3 linked regions of the Pelodiscus sinensis genome follow. The protein of the gene in region 1 purifies or fractionates together with the protein of each later gene. This does not show direct contact. Links are inferred from orthologs where the notes say so. Each region holds a gene or a part of one and is shown on either strand. Other genes may lie near its edges. The genes, in order: MAP2K2, KSR2 and KSR1.

What was found.
Region 2: the proteins of MAP2K2 (region 1) and KSR2 purify together in Homo sapiens (affinity purification with mass spectrometry; 3 studies listed by BioGRID and IntAct, with this or other methods). This does not show direct contact. The link is inferred for Pelodiscus sinensis from reciprocal best matches to the Homo sapiens genes MAP2K2 and KSR2.
Region 3: the proteins of MAP2K2 (region 1) and KSR1 purify together in Homo sapiens (affinity purification with mass spectrometry; 4 studies listed by BioGRID and IntAct, with this or other methods). This does not show direct contact. The link is inferred for Pelodiscus sinensis from reciprocal best matches to the Homo sapiens genes MAP2K2 and KSR1.

What each region holds. Positions count from the first base shown.
Region 1 is NC_134729.1:22,174,945-22,185,343, forward strand, and holds the start of MAP2K2 (dual specificity mitogen-activated protein kinase kinase 2), read right to left. Parts: upstream 4,054-10,399; 5' UTR 3,869-4,053; coding exon 3,783-3,868; intron 707-3,782; coding exon 496-706; intron 1-495. UniProt on the Homo sapiens protein: Catalyzes the concomitant phosphorylation of a threonine and a tyrosine residue in a Thr-Glu-Tyr sequence located in MAP kinases. Activates the ERK1 and ERK2 MAP kinases.
Region 2 is NC_134725.1:11,016,553-11,026,628, reverse strand, and holds the start of KSR2 (kinase suppressor of Ras 2), read right to left. Parts: upstream 4,605-10,076; 5' UTR 4,577-4,604; coding exon 4,397-4,576; intron 1-4,396. UniProt on the Homo sapiens protein: Location-regulated scaffold connecting MEK to RAF. Has very low protein kinase activity and can phosphorylate MAP2K1 at several Ser and Thr residues with very low efficiency (in vitro).
Region 3 is NC_134731.1:10,837,208-10,848,036, forward strand, and holds the start of KSR1 (kinase suppressor of Ras 1), read left to right. Parts: upstream 1-6,767; 5' UTR 6,768-8,894; exon of another isoform or gene 8,895-9,750; 5' UTR 9,751-9,811; intron 9,812-10,358; 5' UTR 10,359-10,386; coding exon 10,387-10,442; intron 10,443-10,829.

The sequences.
Region 1 (10,399 bases):
GCTCAGAGGATTAATAATGGAAGAAACCCATCTTTCAAATCCAGATTCGATCACAAGTGGTAGAAAGTCAGTATCAACTGAGGACGCGTGCTCATGCATAATGAATTTGAGGAATTTCAATCCATTTGCTAGTGAACAGGTGTCCATATCACAAGAGTCACAGTTGTTGGTAGTTTCATCAGAAAGGCTAAGGAGACTAAACTCTCTTCTCCCTGCAAGGGGAGGATGTTCCAGATCAGAGTTGAAGCACAGAGCAAAGACTAGCGTGGCTGCCTGAGATACTTGTTCTAAGGATCTTGAGGAGACTTGGTCTCCAGAGCTCCTAATAAGGCACCCTTTACCAGTATGGAATTCATTTAAGGAAGCAGAAGGGATAGGCTAAGCAAAATACTGCTTTTCTTATAGGGTAACAGGGTGACTTTCTATTACAACCTCTCTCCTGTGTAGGCCAACACAAGCATAAGAAAAAAAATACGTCTGCCTCCTGTCTTTTACCTTTCGTGCCATAATGAGTCCTGAGGGTTTGTGCTGCACTTTGGTGACTACCCCACCATTACCAGCTCCCAGCTCGGAGATCCTCTCAAAGTCGTCATCTTTCAGCTCCCCAACCTTGGCTTTCTGGGTGAGGAAAGCCTCTAACCTCTTCTTTTGCTGCTCATCCAGTTCCAATTCCTCCAGCTTCTTCTGAAGATCTACCAGGTTAGCCCTGAAGAAAAACAGGGAGGAGAAAGACAAACTATGAGAGCCTGTTCGAATTTTGTCTTTGGCAGAGATACGTGTCCCTTCCTCCAGAGGAGATGGCAAAACTGTGGGGGTGTGGGCAGAACCTGCTGGGCATAAAGGAACAGGAGTTCAATTGGCAATGGAGGGATAAGAGAGAGGTTACCGCCCAGGGAACAAGTGCAGAGCAAGGAGGTGCCCCATGAGGCCCAGTAGAATACAAGAAGTCCCACATATCATTCATACTGAACCCCTTCAGCACTGCCAGCGGGAAGAAAGAAGAGAAGGGGAAAGCCCTACTGACAGGGACACAAGTGCTGTATTGGAGATAAATGATGCAGCATCTTCCCAGAAGCACAGATTCCCTCACAGAGATACATTTTTTACATTCAGTCACTCAAGCAAAACTATGAAACCAAAGGGAATCATTAAAACCTTACAGCAGGGAGAGGAGCATTGGCTGTGCCAGCAGCCGCTCCCCTTTCTGAATCCAGGGATACAGCTGGGCAGTCCACTAAGTAATATGAGACAGGCTTTCCATGTAGCTATGCAAATCCTACAGCTTAAAACACTACACCCCTCACCACCCTGCCCAAACATGATGCCTATCTATTATCCAAGCACAATGGGGTATTTATGCTCCGACGCCACCTATCTTTTGGAGCCCTGATTGGGGTATCTTTGGACAGCAGAAAACTGGACCATCAGTGTGATAGCTCCACGCTGCTGGGCCTATTTCCCCTTCAAAAGCCACCCCAGCCCTTGGATCCACAATTTTAATGAACACCCTTTTTTTCAGAGGGTGCTTTTTATTATCAACCTGCCAACCCTCCTACACAGAGCCCGCCTCCTCTTCCTGGCAGATGCTCCCCCCCCCCTGCTACTCCCCCAGGTTTGTTTCCTAACTTTACATTCACAGGGGACTGCTTATGGTGAAGAACTGGGTAGTGCTCCAAGCGCTTGGGAGAGGTGACTCTTCACTGCAGTGGTCTCCAATCTTTTTAACCACAAGATCACTTTTTCAATGCAAGTGCAATGTAAGATCTACCTCAAACCCAAATACCCTTGCCCTGTTTCTTTCCCACCTTTCCTCCAAGGCCTCACCCTGCTCACTCCATTGCCCTTCTTCCTCCATCCTCACTCACTTTCACCAGGCTGGAACAGGGGGCTGGGGTGCAGGCTCTGGTCTTGGGCTTGGAGTTTGGGAGGGGCTCCAGGCTTAGCTGAGTGGGGGATTGGGGTCCAGAAAGAGTTTCAGGGTGCAAGCTCTGGGAAGGAGTTTGGTGCAAGGGGACTCACGTCTGGAGCAGGAGGCTGGCTATAGGAGGCGGTTCAGGGCTGGGACAGGGGTTCAGGAAGCAGGCTCTGGCTGGGCACCGTTTACCTGAGAACGCTTCCAGGTGGTGGAGCAGTGGGGTTAAGGCGGCTTATGCCTGCCCTGGGCCTGCACCACTCCTGAAAGCAGCTGGCATACACAGCAATGGACCCATGGTACCATATGCTGCCCCTCATCTACAGGCACTAAGCCCACGGCTTCTACTGGTCACAGTTCCCCATTATTGATCAATGGGAGCTGCAGGAGTGGTGTCTGCAGGCAAGGACAGCATAGGGCAACCCCCAGCTCTGCCTTTCTCATGGGCTGCAGGGACATGCCAGCCACTTCCAGGAGCAGCAATTACTACGGGGATAATATTACTTCAGACAGGACAGGTGAGGCATTTTAAAACTCACTACTCAAAGAATTAAATTTAAGTGTGAGAGAAATGAAAATTATGAAATGCACAGACCAGTCAAAAACAAAAAATAACCCACTTTGCAAGCAGTAAAAGAAGTAACAACCCCCCCCCCCCCATGTGTGTGTTGGGTCAGCAGATGAGAGTGAAGGACAGCGTGTGTTTGTGAGAATGAGAGACACACACAGTGTGTGACAGATTTGCACTGCCAAGATCCCTCCATTCCCTTCTCTCTGTGTGGAGGTGGGGTACAGAAGTGGGGGGAGAGGGAAGACACCCGAACATCAATGCCCCCCTCTTCTCCCTCCCACACACAGTGGGCAGAGGAGCAACTGAAGTGCTTTATAGCTTCCTGGCCAAACCAGTCAGAATCACCTGTCAGAGGCTCCAAGATCTAATGGTAGATCCCGATCTACTTGTTGGTGACAACTGCTTTACAGGGACTGCCCTAACCCACCCCCCAAAACTCAGCATCTCCGAGCCCCCTTTCTGTCTCCAGTCCACCCACCCCATCTACAACCCCTCGCCCCACAGCACCCCACAGACCCCAGCATAATCTCTCACATACACCCCCGGGTGCCTTTGTCTCAAGGTAGCATGGGCCTGGAGGCCTCCGGGCCTAACCCGGGCCACCTCCCTTGTCCCCTGGGGGCAACCCCTCTCTCATCCCCCCACTGCCAAGTGAGCTGCTGCTCCTTTAGTCCGGCAGGTCCTGCCCCACCTCCGCCCTTCGCTCCCGGGGGGCACCACCTGGACCAAGCCCCATTCCCGGTCCCGAGTCCTCACCCGCCTCTGCCCGTCCACCTTGGGCTTCCTGGCCCAGCTTGGCAGCCCCTGCCTCCCCGGGGCCTGGCGCCCTCCCCAGGGCTCTTTCATTCCCCCCCCCCACCCCGCTAGGCACCCCCTCCCCCGCCTCTCCCTTCCTCCTTCTCCCTCCCCCCCGCCCCCCCACCCTGGGCTTTCACCCCCCCAGCCCCGCTTGGCACCCCCCTTCCTCTCCCTTCGCCCCCCCAGGGTTCTTTCACCCCCCCCCGGCCCCGCTTAGTACCCCCCACTCCCCCCGGCCCTTCCCCCCCCCGGGCTCTTTCATCCCCCCCCCGCCCCGCTAGGCACCCCCCTCTCTCCCTTCGCCCCCCCCGGCCCGGGCTCTTTCATCCCCCCCCGCCCCGCTAGGCACCCCCCTCTCTCCCTTCGCCCCCCCGGCCCGGGCTGGCTCCCCCCGCCCCGCTAGGCACCCCCCTCTCTCCCTTCGCCCCCCCCGGCCCGGGCTGGCTCCCCCCGCCCCCCCCCAGGGCTCTTTCATCCCCCCCCGGCCCCCCCCGCACTCACTCGGAGGAGCCGTCCGGGCTCGGGCCCTCGGCGATGGTCGGGGTGATGGTCAGGGCCGGCAGCACCGGCTTCCTCTTGGCCGGCATGGCCGGGCGGGGCGGGGCGGGCCTAGCGGGGGCGCCGCCGCATGGCCCGGCCCGGGCCGCGCTCCCCCGCGGGGCTCGGCGAGCCGCACTACGCGAGCCCGGGGCTTTGCGGCCTGGCCGGGCAGGGGCAGCGCAGGCCGGAGGGAGTCAGCGCGCGGGGCCGGGCTGCAGCGCAGGCGGGCGGGGCTGGGCGGGCGCGAGCAGGGCGGGGAGGGGCGGGCGCTCCCGCCGCGGAGTCTCGCGAGAGCGCGCGCCCGGCCGCCAGGCGCGGCCCCCGGGCAGGGCTGCGGTCGCCGGGCGCGCGCTCAGCGGGGACGCGCAGGGAGAGGCGCTTGGGAGGGAAAGAAGGGGGAGCTAGTGGGAGGGGGAGGAGGGATGAGAGGAAGGAGGAATGGGAGGGGGTGGAGGTGTGGGGAGGAGGGATGAGGGGGGAGGGATGAGAGGAAGGAGGGATGGGAGGGGGTGGAGGTGTGGGGGGGAGGGATGAGGGGGTGGGGGGATGAGGGGAAGGAGGGATGAGGGGGGTGGAGGTGTGGGGGGAGGGATGAGGGGGTGGGGGATGAGAGGAAGGAGGGATGAGGGGGGTGGAGGTGTGGGGGGGGATGAGGGGGTGGGGGGATGAGAGGAAGGAGGGATGAGGGGGGTGGAGGTGTGGGGGGAGGGATGAGGGGGTGGGGGATGAGAGGAAGGAGGGATGAGGGGGGTGGAGGTGTGGGGGGGGGATGAGGGGGTGGGGGGATGAGAGGAAGGAGGGATGAGGGGGGTGGAGGTGTGGGGGGAGGGATGAGGGGGTGGGGGATGAGAGGAAGGAGGGATGAGGGGGGTGGAGGTGTGGGGGGGATGAGGGGGTGGGGGGATGAGAGGAAGGAGGGATGAAGGGGGTGGAGGTGTGGGAGGAGGGATGGGGGTGGAGGGATGAGAGGAAGGAGGAATGGGAGGGGGTGGAGGTGTGGGGTGAGGAGGGATGAGGGGGTGGGGGGAGGGATGAGAGGAAGGAGGGATGGGATGGGAGGGGGTGGAGGGATGGGGTTGGGGAGGGTAGGACGGGTGGACAGAAGGATGGTGGGAGTGGGAAGCCTGGGGTTTTGCAGAGTTATTAGCTGGGAATAAGGGTGTTCTGTAACTGTAGTTTTCATCATGTAGATTCTCAGGAGCTCTCATCGATAATAAACCATACATGTTTCGGAGAAGGTGGAAGGATGCAGGGAGATCCACCTTTCTGTCTGCCTAGGCCCTCACATGGCTCCCTGCCTAGAGCATGGGCGCACTTCCAACCGGCTTTCAAACAGAACAAGAACATTCTCTCTTTTTTCCTCCTCAGCCTTTAGGAGAACTAACTGGATTAGTGTATAAATTGTTACCAGTGTGAGAGAGTGAAATCAAAGAGACAATACTGCAGTTAGTTCAGGGGACTAAGGGCTGATGCTCCTTCTAGATCATATTCTGCCACTGATTCTGGATGCTGCAGAAGACCAGTAACTCTACTGTGCCTGATTTTTATCCCAGTAGGGTGCACATACCAGGGTGTTGGCTGAATTAGAAATCTAGGTAAATATGTGATAAAATATCACTCATTGTATATGAATCATAACCACAAATCGATTCCCTCATGACTAGGGCCATACCAAATTCACAGCCATGAAAAATGTGTTATGGATCATAACATCTGGTCTCTTCCCAGAAAATCTGACCTTTAGTGTGCTTTTATTCTGTAGGATACAGATTTCATGAGGAAGGCCAGCGTTTCTCAACAGGGGCGGGGGCCTGACCCAAAAGGCAGTTGGAGGGGCGTCACAAGGTTATTTCTGGGGAGTCATGGATTTTCCGGAAGTAAGTGTGGCAACACCACACTATGCCACTTCACTTCTGCATTGCTGCCTTCAGAGTTGGGCAGCTGGAGAGTGGTGACTTAGCAGCTCAGAAGCAAGACCATGGAATTTCAGATTTAAATAGCTGAAATCATGAAACAAACAATTTTTAAAATCCTGCGCCTGTGAAATTGACCAAAATGGGCTAGTGATCAGCTAATGCCTTAAATCACATGCTTGTGGCACCAAGTAGTTCTTCCTCCTCTTTTCCCAATTCAACCCCCCTTCAATTGCCACCCAGGCCTGGACTAATCAATCGGAACCCCCCTCCCTCCAATCTGATTTGGTTGTGGAGCTGATGAGATGGCATTGCTTCGTTGATCAAAGGGCAATGTTCAGTTGCCTAATTACATGTGAGCAATTAAAATCAACTGCATTCCTTATCCCAGCAAACCCTGATAACTAGGTTGGTACAAGTGCCAGGAGGCTGAATTACCAGCGTCAACTTTGACAGACAGGGCGTGACCCCCCCAAAAAAGACGCCCCACACAAGCCATTTTCCCACTTTTCTTCACCCAGTTACTATCACAGCCCCTCTGTGAGCTCCCGACTCCAACATGATGGTGGAGGGAATTCAAGGTTGATAAATGAGCAGTAACACACTCTGGAAGACTGAATCCCAAGTGTGCGTACAAAAGGATGGAGGCCCGATTAGCTGTTGCCACTCAGGAAAGAGCTAAATTCAGTTTTCTCCAAATTTCAGTTGTGTTGACATGCCCCCCCAGACTACTTTCAAGTACCCCTAAGGGGACTCATATCACTGGTTGAGAAACACTGGTCTATCTAGAACAGTGTTTCACAATTTTATTTGGCCACGGAACCCCTAGAGTTGCCTTAAAAAAAAAAAAAAAAAAAGGCCCCTGCCACATTTTGTTGAGAAGAAGAAAAAAAAAAAAGCCTTTGCCATGGCTCTGTCTCTTTAACAGGGGGCGGGGGAGTGCCGGCTGTTTGCAGAACCCTTGCTTTCTCTTCGCGGATCCCCAGGGTTCCCAGAGCACCAATTGGGAAACACTGATCTAGAAGATCGGGAATGGTTTGGAGAAAATGAATAGGGGAGAGTTATTTACCACTTTGCATAACACAAGGACCAGGGGTCACCCCATGATGGGACAAGGCAGGAGGCGTAAAACTAATGAAAAGGAATGCTTCTTCACACCATACACAGCCAACCTGGGACACTTGCTGCCAGGGGCTTGTGAAGGCCAAAAGCACAACTGAGTTCAGAAAAGAACTAGATAAATTCCTGGAAAATTGGTCCAGCAATGGAGTGAGCCAAGATGGTCAAGGTCACAACCCCATGTCCTGGGTGCTCCTAAATCTCTGCCTGCCAGACGGTGGGACTGGATGACAGGAGATGAATTCGAGGTAAGTGGTGAGGGGAATCCGGGTGGGGGGTTCCTGCCATGTGACCCCCAGTTTGGGGAAGAATCAGGACAACCTCCCCTCCGCCCTAGGCCCCGCCGTCTCTGCCCCTGCTTTGCTTCTTCCCCATGCTTGCTCTGCCTTATCCTGCTTCTTTCCCCCTTTACCTTTAGGTCTCTTTACTACAAAGCACCTTGGATACTCTTATAGCTGGGGCAGGGGACCTGCAAAAGTAAACATGAACAACAATAGAAGTTTGACAGTTTGTTGGGGGAATGACACAAACCTTTGGATAATCAGGAACTTGGTGAATTGGGGCTGCATTGGCCTGCGTCTGCTGGACTCTTCAGCTGTCAGATGGCCTCAACTGTGCTCAGGAACTCAGGGAGTTGTGCAAACTGCTGAAAGGCAGCCACCTCTGGGGTGGGACGCAGACACTGTAGAACAGCACACAGCAATGCTACAAAAGAGGTCAGGAAAGGAAGTGAAGGAGAAAGCCGTAGCCACTTGATGCTTTATGAGGGCAGTAGGGAGACAGAATAGAATTGCCTGTGGCTAAGGGGCTGCATTTAACTTAGGATGTTAAAAAGCTGTTAATTGGGTAACTGAGTAACTGCTGAAAAACTTAGCCATTATACGGTTACAAGAGGCCGGCTTCTCAGCTCCTGCCTGCAGGCCCGGGTCAGGAGCAAGAGTGTAACCATTAGTCACCGATAAGCCCAGGCTTACTGGCTAACCGTTTAAACGATTACCGTATTACATCCCCACATTGAACCATTCATATCTTGCAAGCAATGGCACGGGCTCTTGAATCAAAAAGACCTTTCCCCTTCCAGTGACTTACGGCATGAACTTTAAGGAGGCAGGGAGTTGTGGGTTGGCCACCCAGCCATTCGGAATGCCCCGAGCTCTGTCCAGCACGTGCTGGGCTCCCCATCACACCCAGGATGGCAGGGGCAGGCTGTCTCTTCACTGGCTGCTCCAGCAAACTTGGCTGGATGGGGATGCCCCCGGCAGCCTGGGTTTAGCCGCTCCCTGCTGCCCTTAGGTTCCAGGTCCCAAGGCTCTACGGGTCGTTCTCAGCCATCCCCCCAGGCTGCCTCCTGCAGAATGTGAAGCTGCAACCTGCCAGCACAGCCCCCTGGCTCCAGTGACCCCGCCACAAAATCACACACCTGAGAACATTGCTCAATGAAGGAGCTTGCTCCAGTCTATTGCATCACCCGGAGCTAACAGCACCAGGGTGGGGTGGCAGGGGGAGGAGGGTTAAAAAAAAAATCACCACTTCCTCTTTTTGCCTCCCCAGCGTCGGTTCAGGCACTGTGTGGGCTTTGGCCTCCGATTCCCCTTGAAGAGCGGCGCGGGGGCAACCGTCTGCTTTGGAGGCTGTTTGGGGTCCGTGCTTTTGCCCAAGCGCTCTTCTACCACCAGCTGCAGACCCCCTGTTCCCAGGCCCCTGCAGTGTGCGGGGTGGGTGGGGGAGAACCTGCCCACTAAGCAGCAGTAGAGCCCTATCTCGCTGTGGCAGCGGGGAGCTTCGTGTGCCCCCGGGAGTGTTGCTCAACAGAGCAGCCTGAGACTCCGTATTCCCTCTTGGGAGCCCTGACTTCTGCTAGACCCTGGTTAGCCTTCCGCCCTCCCTGCCGTGTTTGACTGGGCCCTGCTTCTGGACAGAGGCAGTCTGGAGCGTCCCTGGGATCAGTGGGGCTTGGGGGTGAGGGGATCCGCTCATCTCACTCTCCTGTCAAGTAGGGGCCTAGCAGGCAAGCCCCATTGTGTTTACCGGAGCGTGGCCATTGGGATTCAGGCGCCCTGCACCCTCAAGGCCCAATCCTGCGCACGGCTCCGCACCTCCCTGGGACATCCACAAACTCGAGGTCCCTCCACTCCTCCTGGAACAGCCCCAGCTGGCTAATCAGGAGATGTTGTGCAATGAGATAACAGTGCTAGAGGCCGACCTTGCGTCTCACTCAGCGCCTTGCCCCTCCCCAGCGCTGGCTCCGGGGCCATGCCCCAGTCACAAGGTTTCTTACTCATCTGGGCTTCGGGATCCCTCCCTCGGCCAGTGGGAAACCCAGCCTGGGCCTCCCATTGCCGGAGACGGGTGACGACGGCCGGGCTCAGCTAGGGGGGATGCTTGTAGATTCCCCACTTGGCTTCCATGCTCAGAGGCACAATCAGGATCAGTTGCTAAGCCTGCCACCCCCTGGGCAGCATGGAGCAGGGCCGGCCTGGCACCTGGCTAGTCCATCTCAGGCCTAGGCTTCCCTGGCCCATCTCTGACTTACCCCCCATCTCTCCCTGTGGCTGAGAGCAGGATCAGGGCTTCCTAGCGCAGCATGACAGGAAACACCAGCCCAGTGCATCCCCTTGCCCAGATTCAGAGGGTTCTGGGTGCGGTTACTGGAAATGCCTCGAAAATGCATTTCCCCACGTCTGTGCACCAAAGGGCAAACTGGCACTGTGGGAACACCCATGATCTGCAGGTGAAGCACCAAGAAAACCACCTTCCCCACCACATCCTCCCCCAGCCCAGCTCCAGACAACACTTAATGAATTTAGTCTCTCAGCCCCCCAAGACAAACCTGCCTCAATATCTCCCCTGCCGGCGGGAGGGACCCTGTGACAGGCCCCCCTGGATCTCTGTGCTGGCCCCAGGATTTGAACCAAGATGCTCTGGAATCCAAGCCCACCCCAGCCCCCATCTCAGACCTCCTGTGCTACCATCATCCCCATGTCAAGGCTTGCCAGCCAGCCAACCTCGACCTGCTGTGCATCTACATCTCCCGCCCTCATTGCTTTCTGGCTTCCTTCAGGCTGAAGCACATGGCCTGGCCTCCCTCGGCTCCTCTCCTTCGTTCAAATCTGGGCGGAAGAGTCATTTCTGTTATGCCCGTGCAAGATGGGGAGTGAACTTGCCACCTCAGGATCTGAGAGCAGCAGCAGCAGCTGCCTGAGCTAAAGGACCAACCCCTCTTAACTAGCCCTAGAGAGGCTCAACTGGTGGAGCTACACTGGAGCGGGACAAAGCCCAGAAATGAATGGCTCTGGGGGGCACACGCCTCTTCTAAGGCATCCTGCTCGACCTTCTCCATCCCCATCGTGGGGTGGGAGTGCCCGGCTCCTCCTAAAGCGGGGCTTCACGCCTGCCAGCCCTCTCACCACATGCGCCACCCTCTGAGTGTCTCAGTCTCCGTCGACAAGGTCCTTTCACTTTGCACCCGCTCCCCTACAATGGTCCGGCCTTGCGGCCATAGTCCGTACAATATCCCTCCTCTTAGGGTAGTGAGGCCCAGTGGCC
Region 2 (10,076 bases), on another chromosome or scaffold:
AAGACGACCCCCTATCTTTTTAATTAAAAGATAGGGTTTCATCTTATACCCCAGCGCCCCTCCGCCTCCTTTGCTCCCGGTGTCCCTGGTCTGCTGGAGATGGTCCCCAGCAGACCAGAGGCACCGGGAGCAAAGCCGCCAGGAGCACCTGGGCTCCCCCCCCCCCACCGCCGGAGCCCCTCCGCGGCTTTGAAAGCCTCGGGGGAAGCCGGCGGGGGGGCATCCCAGGCGCGCATGGGCTGCCCCCCCGCCGGAGCCCCTCCGCGGCTTTGAAAGCCTCGGGAGAAGCCGGCGGGGGGGCATCCCAGGCGCGCATGGGCTGCCCCCCCGCCGGAGCCCCTCCGCGGCTTTGAAAGCCTCGGGGGAAGCCGGCGGGGGGGCATCCCAGGCGCGCATGGGCTGCCCCCCCGCCGGAGCCCCTCCGCAGCTTTGAAAGCCTCGGGGGAAGCCGGCGGGGGGGCATCCTAGGCGCGCATGGGCTGCCCCCCCGCCGGAGCCCCTCCGCGGCTTTGAAAGCCTCGGGGGAAGCCGGCGGGGGGGCATCCCAGGCGCGCATGGGCTGCCCCCCTGCCGGAGCCCCCCCGCCGGCTTCTCCCGAGGCTTTCGAAGCCGCGGAGGGGCTCCGGCAGGGGGGCAGCCCATGCGCGCCTGGGATGCCCCGCCGCCGGCTTCCCCCGAGGCTTTCAAAGCCGCGGAGGGGCTCCGGCGGCGGGGCATCCGGCGTACAAGACGACCCCCGATTTTTGGGGGATGTTTTTTAACATCAGAGGTCGTCTTGTACGCCGGAATATACGGTACAGGTTGAACCTCTCTAGTCCAGAACCATCCGGTCCAGAACCATCCATCGTCTAGAATGATTTTAATTAGCAGGATGTCCACTTTTCATGGATGTGGCCAAGTTTTCCATAGTCTCATGAAGTTTGTTTACAACCACCTGTCCTTGCTTTCAGTGTTCTGTGCTGTTATTTAGCTCTAATTTACCCTTAAATGTCACTGAACAACCCAGTAAGCAGTGGAAGTGTTAGTAATGCTGCTAGACAATATTGACCTCCCATAGTCCAGCAAATTCTCTGATTCGGAACTGGTCAGGTCCTGCAGGTACCAGACTAGAGAGGCCCTGACCATAAATGTTCTTCATCTTAATTTGCTATTTAAATAGCAAAGTATAGACCAGCTCTGGGCAATAACTTGGTAAAAATACCATAGTTGGATTCCCTAGGGCAGGGTTACTCAATACGGGACCCGCAAGCCACATGCACCACAGCCCGTTTGTTTGTGGCTCACAGTGCGGTTTGAGCTGACATGTTTTAGTAGTTAAATTTCTGGACAGTTGTGAAGATAAAACAAACAAGTAGTCAATAGAATGGTCTTCTGTTGAGTTAAATTCCTGGACTGTCATTGCTCATTAAAAGTGCTGTCATATGGATGGAAATTGCGTAAATATTTCATTTTATTAAAATCAGCAGAACAGACTTAAATGGGGCCTGTGTGTTGTTTAGTCTTGCCTTAATCTTTGTATTCATACCCGTCCGTGTAAAAGAAGCTATTTGCATATATATGCAACCACGCTTAAGTTGTGGCCCTTGGAATGTGCTGTATCATTGTAGCCCCTGGGGCTTCCGAAGTTGACTACTCAACACATGGCCACAGCATGGTCCTAGCCCCCTGCTTCCTCACCAGACTGTCTCAGCCAGCCCTGCCCACCGGAGCAGCCGCTTGCTGCCCAGGTTCTGCTGCGCGGCTCTCCAGAGGAGGTAGGCAGGAGAATAATTTTTTTGTGCATGGCTGCGCAGGTGCACACCTTATTGGGAACTGTGATTACAACCTCCCTTTCGATGGGGTGCCCAGAGAGACGGAGCCTCCCCAAGAATAGGCACTACTGGCCAGGAATGCACTGATTCAACACAACCCTATTCCAGCCTCCACTAACAAGGCTCCTAGGAAGCTCCAAAATGAAACTAAAGATGCCTCTGAAGACACTCCAAGAGACAGTGGGGATACCATCCCTCCGGGCAAATCTCCATTTCAGAGCCTGGGCTCAGGCAGGTGTAGCTTGCACTTCCACAATAGAATTTGGACTTCAGTGTTTGCACTGGGGGCTCACATAAAGCATGCTGGGTGTCCCTCTGTAAGAGAACAAGGGTTCACCACTGCCTTCTGGTAGAGAGAGAGACCATTTTCTACTATTTCCTCTTTTAGTGAAGTGAAAAATCATCACGTCCCTCCCAGACGTGTGGAACTGCCCATTGCCATGAACTTGGAGCCACTTTATGGACTTGGACAAGGGAGCTGGATGGCTTTAGGAGCTTGTTAATGGCACACAGCGCTTTTCACCTCTGCAGCATAGATTCTGTGCCCTCCAGCTACCTAAACAAACTCTATCCTGGCTGTCCGAACTGCCCAAAGAGACACAGTAATTAAAGTGGCTATTTAGGTGTTGAGGTGTCTAACTTTAGGCTTCCAGGTTAGAAAACCTGTTAGATAAAAAATGCAGTAAGTTTCTAGTACACATAGTATAAAAAAAAGCGATGAGAGGCAGTAAATCCCCAATGAGCAACAGCCACGTGACCAAGTTAAACAACTCCTTTTCGCCTCCTTTCTCCAGCAGCATTTACCCCATGTTATGACACAGTCATTTGCTTAGTTCCATGCTCCACAGCCAATTTTCAGCTGATTTGCATCTTCCACATAAAACAGATTGATGATAAAGTCCTCAGGGGTTCTTTACCTTTTGCACATTGGGATTCTTCTTCTCCCAGGTAGGCACCCCAGATTGAGAACCCCTGCCCCAGCAGACTTTGGGGATTCTCTGACATCTGTTTAAATAAAGTCTCCCTTCTGTTTAAAGGCACATCCACACATTCAAATCCTGAAACTGGCAAACATCTAATTATCTTTGAAAGAGAATCTATTTACCTGCAGATGATTGGCTAAGTGGCTAGTCCTTGTCCATTTCTAACTTCTATGGAAACTGCTCTGTGATTTTTTATTTATATTTCTTCCACCTTTTTCTTTTTAAAAACATCATTAAGCTGAGACTTCTTGTGCTAAATTTCAACTGGGGGGGGGGGGACATGAGTGGAAGGAGGAAGGAGTTAAAACAGCAAGCTAGAAACCCACACGGAAAGGGGAGCCCCAGGCTAATGTATCTTTTTCAAACACAGTTCTTTCACTGAGGTGGAGCTGGCAGAAGCACTGTCCCCTCTCTCCACCCTACCCCTCCCGCATTACAGGCCCCAGTTTAGCTGTATTGGGGTTTCAAGTCTAAGATATATGGTGACACAACCTTCTCTACAGCAATGATGCTAGAATAAAATGCAGCAGGGTCTGTCACCAGCACATTGCCAGATGTGGAAGGCTTCAGGCCTCAGAGTCCTTTTAAAATCTCCTCACCTCCACCTTTACAAGTGGAGAGTGAGGACAAGCACCCTGGTGGCATACATGACAACTGCATGTTGTCCCACCTTATTACCATCCCAGCCCCTGGGAACTCAACCTGCCTCCTCTTAGCCCCTTTTCCTCTGCTTCCATCAGAGCTGCCATTACTACTGGCAAGCACCACCCAGTGCACATTACCCAGTCCAATTAACGCCGTGAGGTTCCGTCTTTTCCCCCTAGCCCTCCTGGTATTTAAAATGAATCTCCAGTGCGTACATGCAAGTTATTTTTAACTCCTCATGATCACTCCTTTGCAAACCTGGCCTTTACAAACTGCTACCCAAGCCCTCTCTCTAGGTCTCCTGTAATATACACAGGGCTGTTGAAAAGAAGCTGTAGATCTCCTTGTATGCATGAAGCCAAAAGATCTGTTTGATTAATGCAAGATTAGAAAGATTCACAGCTGCATCACTTGCGGGCTCCCAAGAGGGGATCCCCAGTACCTCCATTCAATGGGGCAAGATTGATTTATATTTAAGCATGCAAATTGTTCATTGCACATGAAGGGAAATTGTCCACCCAGAGATCTGTGGTTTGCAATGCAAAACTGAATGCCTGCCTCCTGACATTAAAAAAAAATCAGAGGAGTATAGGGGAAAGAGCTATTTATAGGCAGCCACATTTTATGTGCAAGAACCACCTTTTGGCCACCTGCAGCACGCGCAGGCTCATTTGAGCTCACTGCAGCTCCTTAATTTATTACACTGCACACAAGCCCCCATTGTATATAAACAAATACACTGTCGGGGAGGGGGGACCTACCTCCCTTGCAAAGGCTCACAGCAAAATAAAGGCAACTGAAAAAGTAGACCGGGTTTGCCAGATTGCAGAAACATACAAAATCATGCATATTTTCTCTCCCCCCCCCCCCCCAACACACAACTATATTCGAGGGAGTGGGGGAGGGGAGAGAGCGTTTGAAATGCTCCCTCTGCATGTTTGCAAAGGTAAAACCTACCTCTAAGGTTCTGATCTCTTTTTGCGTCAGGTCGTTGGAAGTGGCACATTTGGTCCGGAGCCCCTCCAGGTTGGAGATGCTGATATCAATCATGTTCTGGACCAGCTCGCACTGCTGCAAGGCTTTCTGCAAACTCAGATGCTGCTGCTCTTCGCTTTTCGTCATGTTTTCCTCATCCATAGCTCGCTTTGCAGCCCCCTCCTCCTTCTCCTCCTCCCAGATCAAAGGGATGGTGGTATCCCACTCCCCCCCCAACCACCCCCACCCCCTGCTCCTTCCCACCCCCACCCCTCCAGTCCTCAACAATGCAACGTGAAAGGAGCCAGCATCTTTCCACCGGAGACAACAAGCCTCCCCCGATCCCCCCCCAACAAAAATAAATAGCGAGCGTGGATCTGATTGTGTCAAGCAGCCTCCATTCGAGTGTCCTCTCCCCTGTGAGTGCCTCCTCCGGAGGGGTGGGGGGAGAGCGCGCCAGTGAGATGCTGGGAGCCGGAGCACCCCAGGTAGTAGGGCTGATGCTGTGTGTGTGCACTCAGGAGCCGCTCTGTTTACACACCAGCTCCATGCAGGATTTGGGGGGGGCGTTTCTTTCTGCTCACCGAGGTTTGCCCCTTGCCTTGAGGGGCTTGCATTGTCCACCTCGTGCGGGAGGCGGTGGAGGTAGGGGGGCGGTGTGCATTAACGGCTCCTCCAAGATGCTGCCTGCATTGCCTCCTGCTCTGATGCTGCTGCTGCCTGGCGCCCGTGCAGGCTGCTGCATCCCCTTCTGCCTGGCTCCCACACCGACATCTTGCCTGTCAATCAGGGCGGCGCGCGCCGGTCCCCGGGAGAGGCGCGAGCCCGTAGTGCGCGCGAGCCGGGTTCGCTAGGCGAGGGGCGCGCGGAGATTCCCGGAGCAAGAGCGTGTGTGTGGGGGGGGGAGGTGTTTGCAATGGGTCTGGGGCAGGGATGTAGCAGGGGCACCCCAGGGTGGTTGTGGGGGAGAAGTGCAGCAAGGCACCCCAAGGTAGATGTGGAGGATAGTACTTGACAGGCACAGTAGTGGCACCCAGGGTAGGTATTGGGGATGGTGCTGAAGAGGCAACCCTCATCATTAAGCTGAAGAATTTTAAGTGCCAGTCCAACATCTTGAAAAGCAAAAGATGTCAATATTTTGGGGTCATAGTCAGGTGGCACTTGACCAAGATTCCTGCCTGAATTTGGTCTGCTAATGGGATCATTAGCTTCCCTGACCTGGGCCAGGTACAGATGGGGAGTACTGATCCACTGACTGACTGCGCAATTGCCCTGTCTTTCCAAATGGGGTTTTCTTAAGACTTGCAATTTACATGTGGTCATCTTCAGACTTTGTCACATATCCTTGACAAGGTCCACTGACTTACTTCCATGGTGGGTTACTGGCTGATGATGATGCTATCAAATAGCTATAGCAGGAGTACAAGAGAATGGGGAATACTGTAGGGCCACCTTTGGCTCCCATTTTTGTCTATGGAGATCAGGATTTGGCCCATAATTAAGTGATTATTTCCAAATGGCAAAAAAAAAAAAAACAACCCGACCCTCTAAGCATCATATTCATGCTTGCTGCAAATTGTCTCCCCCCCCCCACACACACACACACAAACAGTTACTCCCTGTCTGCTTGGATTTCATGCGAGTTACTGTATTAGAAATGCTATTCTTGGTTGCCACATATTCAGTGCACATATGCTGAGGGGTCTCTTATGAGCCTGGCTGCGGTGTTGTATAGGTCTTGTGAATAGGCTCCCTTTATTTAAAAAAAATACTAGAGTACTCCATGGTAATGGTCCCAGAAGCAGCAGTCTTACCTTTGCAAGCTCTAGTATTACATCTAGTTTAGCTTATAAACTTGCAGGGATCTTGTCTTCACTCAGTAATAACAATTAAAGTGTAATGGTACCTAAGAAGCATCCCATGTATTCCAACTATTACTGTAGTTTTCCCATGTGTTTTTCTCCCCAATACTCCCTGTTTGGGAGTTGTTTACAGAACAATTGAAGAGACAATACCACCTAATTTTAGGTGCATAATTTAGATATTTTAGAAACACATTTTCTAAAAATGTAAAAATAAACAGGGGGATAGAAAGAGTATTATTATTGTCTAGTGTCAGTAATATGCCTAGGAATTAAAAGATACATTTGAAGGATCAAGTCCTGTGTTTATTAGCAAACCAAAGACCCACTAGCTTCAGTAAGTGGAATGTGCAGGGATTTCAGAATTTGGGCTGTACATTTTTGATGGAGAGTGTCCCTTTCAACATAGCAGAAATAGAAGCATTGTCAACAGAAAGATGGATGTGCAGTAATCATCACCTGTTCCCTTACTAACCAGGCTTACAGTAAGCTGGCTGCATAGCTGGACAGACAATAGCAACAGTTTCAAAAGCTCCTTTATTCTTAACTCCCTTATCACCTTTATTCAAGGGGGAATTAATATTGTTCAATTACATTCTAAAATCTTGTTTGGTTTACTAATTTGCATGGGCAAATCAAAGTGATTGGGGAAATCAGTGAGATGAAGGTAAACAGGATAAAGCCGTATAGCAGGAGTACAAGAGAATGGGGAACACTGTAGGGCCAGCTTTTGCTCCCATTATTGTCTGTGGAGATCAGGATTTGGCCCATAATCAAGTGATTATTTCCAAATAGCGCAAAAAAAAAAAAAGAACCTCTAAGCATCATATTCATGCTTGCTGCAAATTGTCTCCCCCTCACACACACACACACACACACACACACACACACACACACACACACACACACACACACACATACACTCAGTTACTCCCTGTCTGCTTGGATTTCATGTGAGTTACTGTATTAGAAATGCTATTCTTGGTTGCCACAATAGTATTTTAAATGCCAGCATCTTTGTACATGTAACTTCAGGAAAATTTGGCTCTAATGCTGTAATGGACAGGAGGAGTGCTGACCAGCACCTGGTGACTAAGGGGTTAAACTCAGGTAGCTAGCAAAGAGGTTGGCAGGGAGCCAGCGAACCAATGGGCATACGGGGTTGAAATTTGAATTGTATAAGATTCCTTGCCAGCTTTCTTTGTGTGGTAGACAAAAACCAGGAGTTGAGAGACACAGAGGGTATGTCTACACTACAGAGTTTTGTCGGAAAAAATGGCTGTTTCTTCGATAAAACCTGAGTTATGTCCACACTGCAATCGCGCTCTTCCGAAAGAAAATGGAAAGAACAGAGTGGTTTTTCCAACATTGGTAATCCTCTTTCTATGAGGAAGAAGCCTTTTTCCAAAAGAGCTCTTTCGGAAAAAGGTGTGTGTGGATGGGAAAGAGGGAGTTTTTCTGAAAGAAGAGGAAAGAGGAAAAAGCACAGGTGTCCTGGTAGCCACTCCGTCCATAGTAATCACAGCTTAAATGCGAGACAACGTCCATCCAGTGTGGACGCTATTTTTTGAAAAAGAAGATCACTTTTTCAATGTGCTTTAGTGTATGGACGCTCTCTTTCGGAAGAAGTTTTCTTGGAAGATCTCTTCCAAAAAGAGGTTCTTCCGAAAAAAGCCTGCAGTCTAGACATAGCCAGAATGATTTAAACCCAGGCAGGACTAACATGTCAAGGAATTCCAAGCATGGAAGTGGGCTGACCCAAGGAAAGATTGGAAGTAAGTAAAGGGAAAAAGTGGATCTAGTCTTGATCAGGGTATTTTTCTTTATTTTGCAGTTTGGTTTGAACTGCTCTGTGTGAATCTATGCTTCCCCTCCCCAATTACCATCTAGCATTGTTCCCAGAGGTTTTCTTCTGTGTTTTAATTAGTTTTCCTTAGTTGCTCTGTAACATCTAACAACCAAGTATGCTTTATCAAGTTAAACTTTTGTTTTGTAATAAAAATCACTTTTTTTAAGGTGATGATTTGATTCTTGTGTCCTGGAAGGAACAGGAAGTCTGTCTGTCTGCCTCAGACTGAGAGGTCAGCTACCAGAGACTGCAGCTTGTTTATCTCTTTTCTTTTTTCAAGCTCTTTTAGGGCAAAAGAGCTTGGGGTCCCCTGGGAGGTGGGTTCAAGTGCTCACCGCTGGTTTTAGGGATAAAATCACTTGATGGTGGAATCTTGTTTGTTTATTTCTCAGAGTCAGGGAATCCGTGACTCTGGCGAGTTTTTATAAGCAGAGCCTAGATGTAGAGGCAAAGGGTTTTTTTCTTTTCTTTTTGAACTCTTTGTGGGTCCCCACATTCTACACTCAGAGAAGCAGAGTGGGAAACAGCCCTGACAAATGCTAAAAAGGTTTGAATATTGATGCACATTGATTCTCATGTTATTAAACAAATTTAATTTATAGGTAGTAATTGACATCTCATGCCAAGCTTCCTTTTCACCCATGCAAAGGAACATCAGTTTCATTATCCCCATTTTACAAAGAGGTAACTGAGACATAGAGGCTATGTCTAGACTGCATTGCTTTTTCAAGATACCAGAGATATCCCAAAAAGCAACGCCACATCCAAGGAACACTTCCACTTTTTCAAAACAATTTAGAAAAAGCGGGTGTGCTCTTTCGCCATCCCTGTAAACATTGTTTTACGAGGAATAAGGGATGTGTTGAAAGAGCACTTTCTTTCAAAATTTGGTGCCGTGTAGACACGCCAAATTTCAAAAGAGCCTCTTTCGAAAATAAATTTGGATGAAGATACACAATTTGCGGTACACAAATTGTGTATCTTTTTCCAATTTAACATTGTAGTGTAGACCTAGCTGGAGAGTCTAAGTGACTTGCCCAAGTTCACATATCAGACCCATGTCAGAACCCAAGCCTTGGCTTATCCCAGCCCAATCACAGCTATCTATGATTAAATGCAATTGCTGAGTTCCATTCATCACAACTCATGCAGGAAAAACTACCTCTGTCTATGGAAGATTTGCCTGACTCAGGAATGCTAGATTAGACCAACTTTAAACTCTGGCCAGAGCAGCTAAATTTTGGCTATAGATCTGGGTATCAAGTAGACAATATAAATCAATCTATGGGTATGTCTACCCTGCAGTGCTATTTCGGGATACTCCCAGAATCCCGAAATTGCTGTTCCATGTCTTGAAAGCGTTCCCATTATTTCAAAATATCTTTCTAAATAACAGGTGCTCTATTCCACGAGAATTAAGGGACATTTCAGAATAGCCATTTATTTCAAAATTTGGCACTGTGTTGATAGCACCAAATTATGAAATAAGCTATTTTGAAATACACTTGAAATAAGCTACGTAATTTGTGTAGCTCAAATTGCATCGCTTATTTTGAGCTATGGGTGCAGTGTAGATGCACCCTGTGAGTGCAGATTACTGGAGGCCAATAGGCATGGAGAGAAGTTGTTGCTTTCTTCAGTATTTATTAGCACTTGTGGCTTTGTATTTTTTCTGGATGATTGATGGATAGAGCCATACCACCAAGTTGTTGGGGGTTGTACATTATAGATCTTTGTTATTTTGCAATTTGAGATTTTCAGGATCTGTGACCAAATAATGAAGAAAACAGCATGAGGGAGAAGATCTGAAGTATTGGTAAGGAAAGAAAAGGAGACAGATCCTTCACTGATTTACACATGTGCAACTGCATTGACATTATTGGGTTACTGGCCTTACCGGGGAAAGCTACAAATGTGATATATTTTGTTTTTACTAAGGCTTTGACACAGT
Region 3 (10,829 bases), on another chromosome or scaffold:
CCCTCTTTCTCCCTCTTTCTCTGCAGAGAATCCCAGAGGAGCTAACCCTTGATGCCTTACTGGATATGAACGAATCAAAGGTGAAAGAAACCATGAAGCGATGTGGGGCCAGTGATGAGGAATGTTCCAGACTCAATGGGGCTCTCACCTGCTTAAGGAAGGTGACTGAATCAGGTAGAGATTTCCTTGCTGTTTGATGGGATTAGTGGCAATGTTCCCTCATTTTGTCCCCATTCATGTGCGGAATAAACTTTGTTTTGTGCACAGAGACCTGTGTGAATGTGCATCATTGGAATCTGTCCTGGGTGGCCTCCCTTATGCTCAGGTGACAGGGAACCCTGATTAGTGGCTAATTAGACATTCGCACCACCCTCCGCCCCCCCCCTCCCCATTTTGTTTAATCTAAAAATCTTCTGGAGAATCTCTTGAGCTTATTCTGCTGGCAACATTTAAGGACCAAGTTTTTTGCTCTTGGATGCATGTGAGGTTCATATGATTAAAATGATCAGGAGCCACATACCCCTGGGAGGACAGGAAATGGCTCTCTGGGTGCATTCAGTTCTGGAAATGACTATAGAGCCACTTCTATCTCCGTAGACCTGCTCAGAAATCCGTTTAATGCCTGTGCTAACAGACTGTGCCTTCAGCTTAAAACTAGCACCCGCACACTGCTTTGGCACGTAGAACCTGGAGCATGTGAAGGTATCCTGATATTAGGGGCTTTGCCCACAGGGACTGGCTCCCACAGGCACTGGCTCCCAACCCTCGCCCTCTTCCTCCCTCTGATACAGAGACAGCAATGGGGGGAATTGTGTGTAGTTGTTTTGATTAACCGATAAGACCAGGCTTATTGGTTCGTCGTTTAAATGGCTATACACGAACATCCCTAGCAACTATTTAAAAAAATAGTGTCCCAGGGATTTTTTCATACTTGCAATCTCATGGCCCAAGCTGATCGCTATCTCGCTCATTAAGAACATATTCATTAGCAGGGTTGCAATTGCAGATCTGTATTGATGATGATGCCAGAGCCAGAAAGAACCTAGCATGACTTTCAGAGGGTAGGGAGGGGGGGAGTGTGTGGAAACATGAAGTAAACACCTTTCTGCAAACAGATTGGATCCTTTGTCAAGTCATAGCTAGTGGACTGTTTTTTCAAAGCCCTTTCTTAGAAAAGTGCTGTTCTTCAATGCACTGGCACTTTGTAGCTTTATGGAAAGCTGGGAGTGTTACTTGCAGCCAACTGTCATAATCAGCATCAGATCTTTCTTTGTAACAGTTACTGCTGTTGCTGGAAGGTGTCATTTCCTGTTGGTAATCTGACAGTTCATACCTCTGGCAAATCTAAGGACCTGCAAATGGAAAAGTTAGAGCAGAACTTGACTTCACGTTTCCTTTTCTTTTCTTTGCTTTTCTTTTTTTCCCCTTCTAATCTTTCCATTTTAGGTTGTCAAGTATTTTCCATCCATACTGTGACAAAAGAGCCATTACCTCTAGCTCAGGCAGTGCAGTTTCCTTTAAGCAGTGGCTCCTGACCAAAGTTCTAATTACTATGTTATCATTTGGCACGAGAGGTTGTTACTGGAGCAGAGGACGAGGAGCCAGGACTCTTGGGTTTGGTTCCCAGTTCTGCCACTGCTTGGCTGGTGTGATGTAAGGCAAGATGCTTGGCCTTGATCCATCAAGTCATTTAAACACATGCTGAACTTTAAGTTCGGGAGTTGTCCTATTGACACCTTGCGTGCTTAAAGTCGAGCCTGTGCGTAAACGTTTGGATGGACGTGGACCTTCTCCACCAAATGAGCCTGTGGCAAGTGAATAATACTTAGCACCTTACCAAATTCACAGCCACGTAGAGCCGTAGAACACGTCATGGACCATGACATCTGGCCTTGTGTGCTTTGTACCCTGTGCTATACAGATTTCACAGGGGAGACCAGCATTTCTCAAAATGGAGATCCTGACCCAAAGGGGAGTTGCTGGGGTGGGGGCATGGAATTGTACCCTTATTTCTTTGCTGCTTTCAGAGTTGGACAACTGGAGAGTGGTAGTAAGAATGTTGTCCGGGTGCCCAGCTCTGAAGGCAGCACCCTACCAGCAGCAGTGCAGAAATCAGGGTGGCCATACCATACCCGTGTCACCCTTCCGCACTGCTGCTTTCAGAGCTGGGTGGCCAGAGAATGGTGGCAGTTGACTAGCAGCACAGAAGGAAGGGTGGCAACACTACACCAGGTTGTCCTTATTTCTGCGCTGCTGCTGGTGGTAGCTCTGCCTTCAGAACTGGATTCCTGGCCAGTAGCCGCTGATCTCCAGCTGCCCAGCTCTGAAGGCAGTGCTACTGACGACAGCTGCGCAGAAGTGAGGGAAGCAGTGCCGCAACCCCTATAAAGTAATCTTGTGACCACCTCCTATGACTCCTTTTTGGGTCAGGGCCCTACAATGACCACACCCTGAAGTTTCAGATTTAAAAGCTGAAATCCTGAGATTTACCACTTAAAAAAATCCTATGACCGTGAAATTGACCAAAATGGATTGTGAATTTAATAGGGCTAGCCATGTGAAAGGTTAGCCGGTAAGCCAGGGTGATGCTTACTGGTTCTGGTTAACCGTGAACAGGCTGGAGCTGCTCCCCACCTGCCATGGGCAGAGGGCTGCTCCAGCCCTGCAGGGGGGCCGTCCGTTCAGAGCAACCCCTATCCACAGTAGGCTTGGGCATATTGCAGGCAGTGGCTGCTCCGGCTGGGCTGGATTTCCCCCCCCCCCCCCCCATCTTTAATAAGTTAACCAGTTAAACAATACACTTAACCAATTCAGTGGAATGGTTACATCCCTCCTAGGGCTCTAATAATACTCACCTGCCTCCTAAGGGGATGATGGAATTTAGTGGAGATCTTCAGCGGAGAGGCATTAGAGAAGGAAGTATTGTCCCTTCTGAGAGCTCACGTTACGAAAGACTCGACAGGTTCAGTCCCCTCCAGCCTACCCAGCAGATACTGGTGCTGATGAAATGAACGTTACTAGAATGTGTCAAAATGCTGGAATGTGAGGAGGAGCACTGCCCTTCTAACAGAGGCAGTTATGCCTTGATACTCTGGAGTGCCTGGTTTGTGATACGCTACAGACAGTGGCTAAGCACTACTGACGCATGGGGACAAGTGACAGGCAGAGACAACTTTTTTAAACATAATTTTTCTGGTTGGACACGACTCCCCCTTTCCCCCTCCCCAAGCCGTGGATGTGGGTTGGGGGGCTGTAATCTTTGATACAATCATCATTCAGACACATTTCTGCCTCTCTGATGTTAGGCCAGCTTTACAATGGCATCGAGTCATGTATAAATGTAGATAAATGCCTAGTGGGATTTACAGAAGTGACTAAGGGTGCATCTAGACTGCAGGGCTTAGCTCAATTTGCGCGGCTTATTTCGAGTTATCTCAATTGCATAGCTTATACCGAAACTGGGAGTGTCTCCACAGCACTTATTTCAAAATAAAACACTCTTCCTCCGACTTCCCTTGCTCCTCGTAAAATGAGGGTTACCGGAGTTGGAGTAAAGTCCTCCAGCTTGACAGTATGTCAACATTATTTCAAAGGAAGTGCCTGCTGTGTAGAGGCGGACTAAGTTATTTCGAGATAACGCTACTTCGAAATAACGTCGCTGTGCACACGTACCCTATGTGAATTAGGTGCCTAACCGCCAAAGACTTTCAATGTGAGTTAGACACCTAACTGACTTAACTCCTTTCAACAGTTTATGGCAGGTAGGTGCCTGTCTCAGTGGCACACTTCTTTAAATCCCACCAGGCAACTCTCTGCATCTCAGGTACCTAAAGAACTTGTAAATCTAGCCCCCAGCTGGTCATGCACCTTCTAGGAGGCAGGAGATTTATTTAGGTTTCGTAGCTCCTGGCTACCATTAGGAAAAGGGAACAGTTTTTGTTGCCGTCATTGGCAAGGAGTTTGAGCTGGCTGTTTAGAAGACTCTGAGGTATTGAACTAGTGGTCTGCCCAAGGAGAACCTCCTATTGTCCATAAGTCTCGTTGTGCTGATTTTCTGTCCATTGCTAACACTGAGACTGTTGCCGAACAGGTGGGGAGTTAAAAGAAGACCTGTTGTGGAATAATTCCGACGTGCGCCGAGAGAGAACCTCTGCTCACCCTGCAGAACCCCCCTGCCCACCAGGGCCTGTGTGGACTTCTAGTCTCCTGCATCTGTCGAAGGGCAACAGCCAGCAGGCCCGCTCTGTGTCGGTGTCCGCTATCGCTTCTTCGGAGTCTCTCGCCTCGAGCCATGGACCTTCTAACTATGCAGATAACTTCTTGGAACCGTTAGCGTACCCGAGCCACAGTGGCCACGTGGTATTTAGGACTCCTCACAGCATCACCATCACGCCGCCAACGACACCTCAGTTAAAAACGCGGCACAAATTGAAACCCCCACGGACTCCCCCTCCGCCTAGCCGGAAGGTTTTTCAGCTGCTACCAAACTTTCCAACCCTCACAAGAAGCAAGTCCCACGAATCACAGCTGGGCAACAGAATAGATGAAGTCCCTCCTCTAAAGTAAGCCTGGGATTTTCCAACTTCTTCTTAGTGGAGTGGGAATTGGGGGTGGGGAGGGTTCTTTTACACTCTGGGCTCTTTTTTGGGAGAGGTGTGGGGGGAGGGAGGGCTGCATGCATCGTTCCAGTTCCCATTTCTCAGATTACAAAATAACCAGGAAGTTTTGGAGACCACCTAGACCTGTTGTAAAGTAGAACGTAGCCGTCTGTTTTGATGAAGGCTCGCTGCTGAAACGTATGCTTGGTAGAAACACTCTGCCACTGTTACATGAGGCTAACAGTCTAGTAGGCCCAGTCCATGACACCTTTGTACCACTGTCACTATGGGCAGTGGGTGAAGGCCCAGGTGGGGAAGGCAAGCCCCAGCCCTTCCCTTTTTACCCATGCCACACCCCTTCTCCTGAGACTATGCCCCTTCGCCCCCCAGTCAAGCCTTGCTCAACGCCAGCTGTGGATGGGGGCTGCCGTGCCACGTGGCCCCAGCCCCTCCCAGCCAGCTGGGCAGCGTAGGAAATTCTGGGAAGGCAATGCCTTCCCTTGCTTACATTACCTGCCACCCATGGCCGTCCCATCCACGCTCTCAAATCAAACTGGGTTGGATCACTATGGACTCAGATTTGACAGAGGGTGGTGACTGGTTGTGGTGCTACTCTTCCCTTGGAATCCATGTTGGTGAACTCCCTTTCCCAACATTCATGGGCGTTTGCACTTATGACATTTTTCAGATCACACCTACTCTAGATTTAGATTTAGATAGCTTGCTGTTACTAGGGATACCAGTGGTCTTTTTTTGTGCAAGAGCCCCCTGCCCGATTCCATGTATAGCAACTTGATACACAGTGTAGTTGGCTATTGTGTCTTTCGCTCCTTGTTCTAAGCTGGGTTAAGTATTGCTGAGGCTTTTAAACAGCTGCATCTCTGTGACGGAAGAAATGAGATCTGGATGTAGTTCTGTGTATCCATTTAGGGCTTGCGAGATGCTTTGTAGGTATTTTGGGATGAAAGATGTTCTGTTAATGCAGCATTTGCTTATTTTTGGAAATGAGCATGAGCCAAGCACCCTGGTAAGTCAGAGTAGTCCTGGCTTTTGGGGAAGCTCAGATCAGGAGCCAAAGTTTGCAACTAGCATTAAACCAATGCCACTTAGCTGGCCCTTCTGCCCCTTTGAAGGAGTTGTCCAGCTAGGACCTGGCTTTACTGAAGGCTTGTACAAAGGAGTTGTTTGTTTATGAGCTGCTTTAGTGGTGAGTAAGGCAGTTGCACACCCTTTTATATGAAAGGGAGGGAAGGAAAGTTACCATAGTTAGTTATGGTTACCGATGACTATGGAAGAGTTAAGAACAAAACCACATGTGACAAATACAAATTCTGCTTCGCTTTCAAACCGAAGTGCGAATGAAGCGTGTGCTGGATTAGAGAGGTTCATCCTCTCTACAAACTGATTTCCGCAATGAGGGAGAGGTATTCCCTTGAGTCGAAAAGAGGTGTAGCTGGCTACAGATCTTTTGCTTTAAATCTAGTGGTGAAATCCTGGTCTTACTGAAGTCCGTGATAAAACTGCTGACTTCCGGAGGGCCCAAAGTCTGTTTGGGTGGCCAGGGTAGCACTTCATTGTTGTTGAGATTTTAATGGATCAAAATGGCCCTGCTCATCCTCCACATGAATTTGTATAGCTCCATGTGCTCTCTTTGTTTGGCGTGGAATGTATAAATGATAGAATTTACACCTCAGCAGCAGGGAGGGGGAGGGCTTTCAACAGAGCCTAAGGGATTTAGACTCCCACATGATTTGAATACCTAACTCCCTGAAATTCCTTTGACAATCCCGGTCATTGACTATCCTCCACTTTCACATAGTGTGTGCGTGCGCACGGGGATCTCTGTCCAGTGAATTATATCATTCATGTACACAATAAGGTGTACAAAATATTGCATATGCAAGTGCAAAGATGCCTTTGGGGGGAAAAACAGAGGCCATGTTTTGAAAATAGAGCCTTAAAGGTTGTAATGAGGGCTCTGCACTTAAGAGAGAAGTTTAGCTCATCTGTCACATGATCATTTGTGTTGAAAATTGTTTTGTTTTTTTTTTCTTTTTGTCTTCTAGGCTTGGTAAGAAACAGATTTTTTGGGGGGCAGTCTTCGCATCGTTGCCTGCGGGGAAAAGAATGTCTTATCATTGTGGCACCAGTATGGTCCTGTTTTTATGCTAACTTTTTGGAAGTCCTCCATGTCGAGCAGTTGTTAACGTTGGCAGACATTTCCTAGCATGAGCGCTGCAAGATCAGTCCTCATTTGTTAACACGAATAGAGCAACAAAAAGAAACCTTGATACTGTAGGGATTGGACCTGCATTGAAGGTGGTTTTGTTTAAAATTTCTCCCGTCTTTCCACACTCTTGGTATCAACATATGTTGGTATTTAAAAGCTCTAAGTACACAACCGACCATTCAGCATCAGTACATACCATTACCAGATCCTTCTATGTAGCACAAAGTTTCTTAAATTTCACATAGCCTTGGCTTTAGGGATCATGCAATGCCTGTATCTGCAACATGGGGCTTTGTGAGTAAAATGTAATGGTTGCTTAAGGCTTAGCTGTGCAAGGTGCAGAGTATGCCTGCTCTAACCCAGCAAAACACGGGCTCATGCTTAGCTTTATGCACACAGTCAGTCCCACTGGAGTCAACAGGGCTAGTCAGATGCTTAAAATGAAACATAGGCTGATGTTTTTCAGCATTGGGAGCAGTGAACTCAGCAGCTGTCACAATCAAACTCCTAGCACTTGAACTGTGGTATGCTATGGTGTGACAGCAGTGGTCGGACAATACACGTCTGCCATGCACCACTGCCTTCATCATAAAGCTAAAACAGAAAACCCCTTGTCCTTTAAAATGTGTTAGCTTTACTGTAAAAAATAAAACTAAGACTTTCATGTGCACTATATGGGTGGGTAGGTATTTATAAAGCATAACTGCTTTAAAAGAGAACCCTAGAAGTTACTTTCCCAAAAATAAATGGTTGCTAGTTCATAGCGGCTTCAGCTCGTGCCCAGATTGCTTTTCTTGGCGCAGCCTGGCCCTAGGTCTTCAGATGCTACAGGCAGGTGACATTGGTCAGTGGCCCCTTCCTAAGGGACATAGCTGCAAAAGGTAGGTGTTTGCAGAACCGGGGAGGACAGAGGGAGGGAATTTTCATTCACCGTCCCGTAGGTGTTTCCCAGGAAATCCACTTCACATGCGTTGTCCCAAAAGTCCATTCATATCCGCTGCACTGTTCGGTATAGATCTTTCATCGACCAGGCCACAATTATTTAATCTGATGATGCCAAAGATACCGACGCTGAATTTAAGGAGGCGTTTCAGGGATCTGGCAGGAACTAATTGCCATATCAATCACACAAGCTGCTTTTTCTAAAATCATGGCTATCCATCAAGCACGGTCTGTAAAATTGGACAACATAGGTACTGTAGGGTCCATCTAAGCAGCCCGCAGCAGCAAGCCTCCCAGCCCAGATCAGTAGACCACAGCTAGTGGGGCTAATGCTCTACAACTAGCTGTGCACACAGGGCTCTGGCACTGTGGCTAGGGCTGCAGTTTGGGCTGTTTTTTAAGCACTAGTGCATGTTCCGCAGCCCCAGTCTCTGGACCCAGGCTGGGAGACTTGCTGCCAGCTGGGTAGAGAGAGGGTGGAACATTTCTGTGATGTATCAATAAAGGATCTGCTGCCATCTAGGGACAGAATGGGAAATGGGTGTTCAGAAGTATTGGCACGATGCATCGGGAGCTGTGCATTCGGTGTGAGGCCCATCTGTGGGGTACTGAAATATCAGCATCCTGGAAAAGCTGGCAGAATAGAAATAAAACTCTAGTGGAAGCAGCATTGCCTACTAGGTAGAGCACTGGACTGGGACTTGTGAAACAAAGCCTGGTTTCCCTGGCTCTGCCACTGGCCAGCTGAATGACCTTGGGCAAGGCACTTCGCCTCTCTGTGGTCAGTGCCCTAACTGCAAGATGGGGATAATGATTCTGATCTCCTCTGTAAAGTCCTTAGTGATGGACTGGTGCAAAGCCTACCTAAGAGCTGGGCGGTAATAGTCATAACCAAGCATTATTTGGTGGTCCCCTTCCAGATCAAGGCTGCCCTCCTAAGCAGGCATTTGAAGCTGGTTTAAAATTGGGACTCCCCTGCCCCGCCCCCGAAACCCTGTTTTTGTTCCTTTTGTTTTCTTAATAACATTTTCTTGCTACTATAGGGCTAGACTTGTGTAACCTTTATTGCTGCTGGAGACATAATAAGACTACTTGTGTGAGTGAGTCGGTGCTCCTCAGAGCAAGTAAGCATTGCCCAGACCTACCCCATAGTACTCAACGGGACAGGATGTATTTCAGCCTTGTGTTTGATTTGCCTTAAAATGCTAGCAAGCTGATGGGAAATGCGAACCATCCACCAAGCCGTGCAAATATTTATTAGCATGTCTGATGGGGCCTCCTTTAAGGGGTGCTGCATTTGTAAGATGGGTGGACTTTCCCCATCTCTAGTCGTGATCTTGTAATAATAATTTGTTTTCCCCTACTAATAAGTTCTATAAATCTGCACACTCCTACTAAATGTAGAGCAGGAAACCATTTACAGCTTATATTGGTTCCACACACGATGAAAAGAGCAGCTTCTGGGCAATGTTCCTGCTCATCTTTTTCAATCCACGCACGGATGTGTTTTTTTTTATCCGTGTGCAGAATAAATGTATGTGCACTGAAGCGTGTGTGAATGTGCACTACCAACAGAAACAAAACCTCACTTTGGGTGCTCTGCTGATCAGCTAGGTGGCATTGGAATCTCCTGAGTGGCCTCATGGTTACCCAGCTGACAGGGAACATTGATCCTGGGGCATGTGAGCTATTGCCATGATTTGAAACACTAAGGCCTAAGGGCAAGCGACTTAGTTTCTCAGTTCCCATTGAACTCAATAGCTGCTGGGGGCCTGACGAGGGGGGGGAGGAGGTGCATTACTGATCTCTTGTGCAAACACAGGTGTAGTTGGGCTCTCTTGGTGGCATTTGCTGCTCATTGTTCCCTTAGAAATGAGATTTTCATGTGCAAATTTCCCTTTAGATTTCTGAAATGCTCACAAGTTAAGGGCGGTTTGGTTTTTTTTGTGGCTAACATGTAATTTGTTCTCCCCACATCAGATCTCCCCCAGGCATCCCCTCAGGCAGGACGAAGAGACATCGGCTTATCAGTAACACACAGGTAAACACCACCACCCAAGGCAGCAGGAGTCACGAAGGAAATGAAATGGCTGTTGCTTTAATGGGCGCCATCACCTTTTAGAACAGTTTATAGCTGGGGCTAATCTGAAGCTAGGTCTACACTGAGTGTTTTATGTGGAAGAGGAAATGCAAATGGAGCACTCGTTTGCATATCTTGAGCTCTCATTTGCATATCTTCTTCCGGTCCTTTTTGCGGAAGAGGTTTTTGTGATAACAAGCCCTGTATAGACGGGGTCATTTTGGGGGGGGGGGGGAATCCTTTTGCACAAGAGTGCCTTATTCCTCAAAAAATGAGGTTTACAGGCACTTGCTCAAAAGAGGTTTTTTTCTGACAAATGGCCCCCTCTACATGGGGCTTTTTGACGCAAAAACCTCTTCTGCAAAAAGGACCGGAAGAAGATATTCAAATGAGAGCACAAGATATGCAAACAAGTGCTGTAAACTGTCTGTCGTTAACCAGCAGTGTTTCGGTGACTGATTTTCTGTTGAACTAGCCCCAATATGACACTTTCCCTTCTTCTGTTCAGATTCTCTACAAAATCTTGGTTATCTCAGATGTGCCACGTGTGTCAAAAAAGCATGATGTTCGGTGTGAAGTGTAAGTACTGCAGGTGAGCACAGACCGCTGGTCCTTACTGAAGGATGCTTCGTTATCGATGTATTATTTGTTCTCTGAGATGTATTGGCTTTGTTTATTAGTTTGTTAGAACTTTGGGCCCTGATTCTGCCCTGGGGTCCTTTAATGTAGAGAATCGTGGAGGGAGGGAAACCATGATCCACTGATTAGGGTGGTATCTTGAGACATGGGATACCCTCGTTCCATTCCTTGCTCTGCCACAGGCTCCCTAAGTTACCTCGGTCAAGTCACTTATCTGTGCTTCATTTTTCTCAACTGGAAAGGGAGGTGAATAGCACCGCCTTACTCTCACAAAACTCATGTGAGATAAATGCATAGAAAACAATGTCGTGTTCAGATATTACAGTAAAGGGGCTATAGA